Linked DNA regions of Callithrix jacchus. The protein of the gene in region 2 interacts with the protein of the main gene of each other region in a pairwise test. Links are inferred from orthologs where the notes say so. Each region holds a gene or a part of one and is shown on either strand. Other genes may lie near its edges.

The links. The genes of interacting proteins can lie anywhere in the genome.
Region 1: the proteins of CACFD1 (region 2) and LDAF1 interact in binary tests that used the Homo sapiens proteins (3 or more experiments, as listed by UniProt). The two-hybrid records come from large-scale screens. The link is inferred for Callithrix jacchus from reciprocal best matches to the Homo sapiens genes CACFD1 and LDAF1.

The regions. Positions count from the first base shown.
Region 1 is NC_133513.1:22,329,024-22,333,137, forward strand, and holds the start of LDAF1 (lipid droplet assembly factor 1), read left to right. Parts: upstream 1-1,308; 5' UTR 1,309-1,534; intron 1,535-1,817; exon of another isoform or gene 1,818-1,873; intron 1,874-2,566; exon of another isoform or gene 2,567-2,768; intron 2,769-4,114. UniProt on the Homo sapiens protein: Plays an important role in the formation of lipid droplets (LD) which are storage organelles at the center of lipid and energy homeostasis. In association with BSCL2/seipin, defines the sites of LD formation in the endoplasmic reticulum.
Region 2 is NC_133502.1:182,067,796-182,071,356, reverse strand, and holds part of CACFD1 (calcium channel flower homolog), read right to left. Parts: intron 3,085-3,561; coding exon 3,012-3,084; intron 1,283-3,011; coding exon 1,157-1,282; intron 1-1,156. UniProt on the Homo sapiens protein: Transmembrane protein which mediates synaptic endocytosis and fitness-based cell culling.

The DNA.
Region 1 (4,114 bases), on a different chromosome or scaffold from region 2:
TTATTTCCAGAAATATTAGGTAGTAGATGTAATAATACCAGCAAATATTTTTGAGCCCCTACTTTAGGTGCTAAGTTATTGACAGTCACTTTTGCACCAGTCCTCACTACCACCCTGTGACTGCTTCTCTCTCTCTCTCTCTCTCTCTCTCTCTCTCTCTCTTTTTTTTTTTGAGACAGATTCTCACTCTGTTGCCCAGGCTGGAGTGCAGTGGCATGATCTCAGCTCACTGCAACCTCCACTTCCCGGGTTCAAGCGATTTTTCTGCTTCAGTCTCCTGAGTAGCTGGGAATACGAGTGGGGGGGCACCATGCCCAGCTAGTTTTTGTATTTTTAGTAGACACAGAGTTTCGCCATGTTGGCCAGGCTGGTGTGGAACTCCTGGCCTCAAGTGATCCACCCACTTCACCCTCCCAAAGTGCTGGGATTATAGGTGTGAGCCACTGTGCTCTGTCAGCTTTTCTTTATCTAAAGACTTATTCTCCAGGTTGCTATGGCCACAGGCCCAGAGGAGGGGCCTCAGGCACAGAGGAGGGGTGGTCAACACAGGTCCCTGTCTGGAAAGTGGCTGAGAAGTGTGCAACAGCAGACCCATGGCTGGGCTTATCCTTCTCTCTAATTTATGGCTGAAGCCATGGTTCAGAGAGGTTACTGGGTCACATAGTAAGTTACCAGTGGTTCTCAACTCGGGATGATGGGGCTTCCCAGGGGACATTTGACAATATTTTGAGACATAACTGGAGGTGGGGGGTTCTTGTAACTGGCATCTAACGGGAAGAGGCCAGGCTGTTGCTAAACATTCTACAATGCACAGCTCAGAAGCACAGAATTATCCCACCCCAAAGGCCAATAGCCTACTATTGAGAAACCTTGCTGTAAGATTTGGGGCCAGGTGAAACATGGGTTCCTGCTCCAACTTGGATCCTTACAAACTGAGGAATTTAGGTGGATTTATCTTGTCTCTCGCAGCCTGGATTTTTTTCATCTGTAAAATGGAGATACTAATCTAAACCATCTGGAAGGATCTCACTGGCTTATGACATTTGCATTTCAGGAGTCATGGTTAAAAACTTCCAGCCAGGGGCCAGGAGCCGTGGCTCACGCTTGTAATCCTAACACTTTGGGAGTCTGATGCGGGTGGATCACAAGGTCAGGAGTACGAGACCAACCTGGCCAATATGGTGAAACCCCGTCTCTACCAAAAATACAAAAAAATTAGCTGGGCGTGGTGGGGCATGCCTGTGATCCCAGCTACTTGGGAGTCTGAGGCAGGAGAATTGCTTGAATCCAGGAAGCGGAGGTTGCAGTGAGCCTAGATGGCGCTACTGCACTCCAGCCTGGGTGACAGAGCGAGCCTCCGACTCAAAACAAAAACAAAAAACAAAAGAAAACTTCCAGCCAGGGTGGTGCTTCATCACGTGTGTGTCTTGAGCTCCAGATACGTTCCAGAGCAGCTGGTTTTGGTTATACAGGAGGGGAAACCCTGAGACCCTTCGAAAACTCACTCTCGGCGGCCAGCCGGCCTGTCCTGAAGGTAGTCTGAGCTTTCCTCAAGCCTGGAGTGTGGGAAGGGACAGTTTCCTCATCTGTCAACCTCTCCGGGCTTGTATGTGGAGCGCGCTTTGCACGGGCCTGGGCGCGGGGGCCTTGGCGTGCCTTTACCGGGTCCTTCCGGCCGCGGGCGGGGCGAGCCCAGCGAGGCAGAGCCGAGGGGCGGTGCCCGGGCCGGGCGGCGGAGGCAGGCGGCTGTGGCTTCCTTCCCGGGACGCTCTTTCCTTCCTCCTCTTGCTCCTCCTCCTGCCTCTCTTCGCTCCTCCGCCTTTCTTCGCTCCTCCTGCAAACGCGGTGGGGGCTGCTTGGCCGCCAGGAGCAGGTGAGAGCTGGGAGCTTGGGAGTAGGGGTCCGGGGACCCCGGCTGGCTAGACCCCCCTCGCCGGGCCAGGACAGCGGAGGAGCGCGGGAGCGACGGCGTGAGCGCGCGATCGGGGTCCCACGCCCGAACCCTCTGTCCCGGGGTTAGTGTAAGGGCCGTCTCCTGCCTGTGAGTCACTGGGACCGGGCTGGGAGCGCACGAGGAGACACGACTCCTTCCCACCCCTAAATATACACACAGACTACCACTAGATGAGATTAACTGGTAGCTAGCACCACCACACCCCGAGACTGTGCCCCTTCCTGGGAAACCTGGCAGGGAAGACGTCGAGGCAAACCTCCCTAGGGTTATTGAAAACGGACGCCCTCCTCACCACCCAGCCCCTCTTCTCCACCGAGGTCTTCTTCCCGGTCACTGTAGAGAGGAGATCTGCAAGTATCGAAGGAGGCTTCTCCCCCAAGTTAATAACAAAGTACTCTACTCCCCCCTGAGTTCCCATTACTCAGCCTCTGTGCCTTCTGGGGAGCGGACCCCCTCTCCACCTGCATTTCACTTTCTTCCTCCTCTCCCTGGCTTTTGAAGGCTGAAAAGCTAGGTTCAGATGGCCAGGGGGCGGCCAGGTAAGCTTGAGTCACGCTGCAGCTCCCATCCCCCAACCGGAGATGTGATCCCCTCCTCCCAGTTAGAATGTTCGAGATAGCCGTTTGCCCCTGGAGGTGCGAGGGTGGGAGAGCCGAGAGATTTATTTGGAGACTTGGAAGGGGAGAGGGTTGGCTGGTATTGGCCTGGCCTAGTCCCCCAGTCGTGGAGAGGGCGGGGCACCTCTTGGCCGCGCCGGGTTCCCGCTTTCCCTTCTCGGGAGACAGCTCAGTGCCTGGGGAGGCTCCTCCAAGGAGTGAGTAACCAGCGGGTCTGGGAACTGGTGGCCAGGTAGGGGATTTGAAGGCGATGGCATTCTCCCCACTCATCCCCCGTCGGACTCCGCAGGCCTGTCTGGGTGGCACTTGAGGCTCCCAGGCCAAAGGAGAGTTGGGCCTGTAAGGGGAATTGGGCTTGTTTCTGGATGCTGCAGAAATGAGAGTAGGGGAACTGAGTGCTGGGAACATCCCAAGTTCAAGATGTATGCGGCTGCTTGAAAGAGAGAATGTTAGGTGGGGGGATTAGTCCCCTCCTTAACCTCTCCCTCCAAAGGGTTTCTTGTTTTACAAAAGGGAAGTAGCAGAGGATGTCTAGCTGGGATGATTAAAATGTGTTTTAATTTGCACACTAGACCCTATACATCTTAGTAGTAGATAAAATTATCCCCTGGGCTGGGGTGGCTCACGCCTGTAATCCCAGCACTTTGGGAGGCCGAGGCGGGCAGATCATGAGGTCAAGAGATCAAGACCATCCTGGCCAACATAGTGAAACCCCATCTCCACTAAAATACAAAAATTAGCTGGGCGTCGTGGCCGTGCCTTCAGTCCTAGCTACTCAGGAGGCTGAGGGAGGAGAATCGCTTGAACACGGGAGGCTGAGGTTGCAATGAGCTGAGATCGGGCCACTGCACTCCAGCCTGGCAACAGAGCAAGACTGCATCTCAAAAAAAAAAAAAAAAAAAATACCCCTGTAATGAATGCAATTAGTATGTGGGATATTCAAGATGATAAATGTGAAGATCTCTCAATTAATTTTGGCCATGTGGAGAGAATCTTTTAAACATTTGTACTGTAGGTCAGGAGGTCAGTTTATAGGGAGAAATGGAAAAGATATCTCCGTATCCAGCCAGTTCTGGGAAATATAAAATAAGAATAATTTTTTTTTATATTTGAAAATGAGGGTTAAAAAATATATCTAATTTAACCAACGGCCTTTATTAAAAATAAGTAAAAATTGTGTGAGATTGGGACAGCTCTGGAAATTCCAGGCAATTTAGTTAGAGTATAATTATTGTGGTGAGGTCTGGCTGGGAGTTCTCCTTAGCAAGGACAGACTTACCCAGAAGTAAATAAACTGATGATGTCTGCAAGGATAGAATTGGGAGCCAACCTGTGCAGTAATAAAGAAGACAACAGGCTGCTGTTGTACAAGAAAACTTTCTAGGGAAAATAAAAGGCAATGAGATTCGAAATCATATATTCGGCTTTCTTTCTGTATATTTTCAGCATTTTGTCAAGCTAAAAAATAAACATAAGCTCTCAGAGATAATAGTTAACATTTTGTCATTTTTTTAAAAAAAGTATCATAAACATCTTTTCACAT
Region 2 (3,561 bases):
GACCCGATAATGCCACACCTGAAAACAGATCTTAAGGAAATCATCATAAACACAGAAACAGTCTTAGCAGATAGATGCTTATCGCAGTTCGATTTATACCAGTTAAGAAATTAAGAAAACCATGATACATCCAGCTGAACGAATATTCCTATATTAAAAGTGATGTTAAAAATGCTTATATCATTACACTAAGTGAAAAAAGCAGGATACAAACTTATTCATAATGGTGATAGCTGTGTTAAAAGCAGGCTTTTAAAAAACGCCCGCAGACAGGAAGCACACACATCAGAAGAGTAGGAGGCAGCTGGCTTCAAGTAACACTGTTCCATCTTCCAAATCATAGTTAATGAATTTATAGTATGGCTAGCATTTTTAAAGTACAGTTGTTTGAACTCCGAAGGACATGACACTGCGGAAGTTGAGGTCTGTGATCCTGTGTTCTTCGTGATTTAGACAGAGCAGAAGACGGCTCCAGGGCTAAGCACCAGGCTTCTGCTCTTACCATCAAAACTACTGGGCCTCTCTGAAGGGAAAGCAAGCTTGCACCTGCACCTCTTTCGAAAGGTAACCTGGACAGTGATAAATGCTGCTGCCGCCAGCCTCCTGTCCACCAGGGGCGTTATTCTAGGAGCTTCCATGTATTACGCTTATCCTGAAATTAGTTCCATCGTACCACTCAGAGGAGACGTATAACAGATTGATTTCGTTGTTAGAAATGGGAAAAACTTTGACAAGCACATTTAGAGGGCAACGACATTTTCTGCTCTACAACCTGCTTCTCCTCTCTCATGTCAGGACACCTACATCAGCCCACTCTTCAGAAACACATCCTACAGACCTACTATCATCTGGTTAACAACACCCAGTGGATGAACCAAAGTTCCAGACGCTTCCCTTTTCTCAGCTGCACGGAATGCTGCCACGCATGCTCAAACACCTTCCAGTGACTGCAGCACAGCGACAGCTGAGTTCCCGGTGCAGAACCACTGGGGCAGGTTTGGCAGCAATCAGCAATCACTGCACAAAGGCCGTCCGGGTTTACACTTCTACACAGAGGAGACGCATACACTGCCCACCCTCACCTGACCTGTGGGTCACATTTTGTCAGTGGGTTTTGGGGAACTGTGTCACAGGACCCTGCCCAGCAGCCCCTCACCCGCAGTAGAAGACAGCCTTCTGCCAGGAACGCAGCCGGTCCACCTTCTCCGCCACCGTGTTTGCAAACTCGACGAACTGGCAGCAGAAGGGCGCCTCGCACAGCAACAAGATGAAGGCATTCATACTGCAGGGAGCAGGGCAGGAGAAAAGCATCGACTGACAATCCCAGGGGACGGGGGTGCACAGTGCCAGTGCCACATGAATGCCACCTCCCTCGCCCTCCTGCCCCCATCCCTCCTCCTCTGGGAAGGTGCCTGGCTGCTCCAGGGCACCTGCTTATACCCACCAAAGAGCCTCTGCTGAACACTCCAGCACTCCCCAGCTGCTCCTGCACACCCATCTCCCCAGCTGAACTCAACACTCCTAGAGGAAGCCCCCGGGCTTTTGCTTCCCTTTATCCTCCTGTGTGTGAGACGGAGGAGAGTACCCCACATCATGGCACTGCTGTAAGGCTGAGGCAGGGTGCCCACAGATGGAGCACCTGGCAGCTCTGTCTGCTGTTAATTCACATCGCCACGGCCACCAGCATCCATCAGTGGCATCAGCATCAGGAAGGCTGCCCCACCAGGGAGGCAGAGAGCTGGAGCCAGGCAGTCTCAAAACAGTCACGGAGGGCTGCCCACATACCCAATGCCACCAGCCCAAGGCCCAGGGACACCCAGGGGAAGCCCACGCTGGGAGGAAGAACTTTAACAAGTCCTTGCATCCGGCCCCGTGTTTGGGGTGGGAACAGCTAAGCCACTGGTGACAGAGAGTGTCTGCCGTGGTCTTGGTATTCTCAATGTGTGGGTAACAGTCAGTTACCAGACACTGAGCCAGGCCCTTCTGTCTGTCCCCAAGCCTAGGAGAAATGTGCCATCATTACACCTGTGTAACAGACATGCAGCTCAGGACACCCCAGAGCCACCCTAAACCCAGGGCAGAGACTCTCTTCACAACTTTTAACCACTGCATCCGGCCCCAAGCCTCCCACACACCAGGCCTCCAAGCATCAACTCACTCTGTGCTGGGCCAGCCCTACCACTGCAAACTCGGCCAGGCTCTGATGCCACCCCGAGGCTGGGCCCAGCGCCTCTCCTCTGTCCATCCCCATTGCTATCCACCACTGGCAAACACAGGCATTGGTGACCCCACAACAGCAAGCCCCCAAGGCTCTCCACTAGCCATAGGTCACTGAGGAAGGGACCTGAATCTCGTCCATCTCAGTACCCCTCAAGACCAAGCCCCACGAGGACACTCATAAATTCTTGGTACACAGCCACTTCTCATGTGCCCTCACTGCACCTTCCCTTCCGATGGGATGGTGCCACCTGGCAGGAGGCGGTCATGGAACGCACGTGATGGTGTTCTGACCACAGGTTCCCATGACCACTCTGACCTGCCTCTCCCACCCATATTTGGCACAGCCCCGAGCTAGAGCACCCTCTCCCAGTGGACCCTCCAACCCAGTCCTCAGCCAACCCCAACAAACAGCCTTCCCCACCCCCATCCTGGGAGCTCCCAGAGGGCAAGGGCCCCAGCTTAGTGGATTTGGCACCTGCAGTCTCAGTGGGTGCTCCAGGAATGTCTGGAGTACTGGATGGCCTCCTGCACTGGATGAAGGCCGGGGTGAGCATTCCCCAAACCCTGACCTCTCACTGGGAAACCGAACATGGTGGGGGTAGGAAGTAGGAGAAGACCCATGCTGTGGCCAGAAACCCATGAGCCCTGAGGCGCTCAGGTGGGAGCCAGTAACCATGGCAACCTCAAGGACACCAGCTCCTGCAGCCCCTGCCTCTCCTCCACCCCGCGGGGTGCCCCGAAGACCCCCAACCCGCAGGACCCCTGGGGTGGGACAGCCATGCACTACTCACATCATCCACACGCCGGCTGCAATGTCCAGAGGGTGGATGGTGATGCAGTTGAAGAGGCCAGAGATCGCACAAGCTTCAAACAAGAGACACGGCAGAAGTCAGTGGGAGGCAGGCAGAGCCCGCTGGCATGGCGGCCTGGGGAGATGACTGGAAAGCACCAGAGTCCCTGCGGATGCGCAGCACACAGTTCTCATGACACCCAGAAGCCTGCCCTCTATCATCTGAGACAGGTGGGGAGACACAGAGTGGTGCCATGGCTCGCCCCAGGCCCCAGAGCAAGGTGGCAGCAAGGTGGCAAGTTGATCTCACAGCTGGCCGGCTCTGGGCGCTGGGAAGGCTATGAGAGCATCTCGCCCTCTCTCCGCTCCAGGGCTCAGAGAAACTGGCCCTTTGACCCCAGCTGCGTCAGTGCACACCTCAAAGGGAGGTTAGGATTAAAGAGAGAATGTCCCTCAAGGATTCAGGCCAGTGCTCCCCCGAGACTCTGCCTTCAGTAAGGGTCACTTGTCACCATTCACAGGGCCGGCCACACAAGAAGTCCTCTGACTCA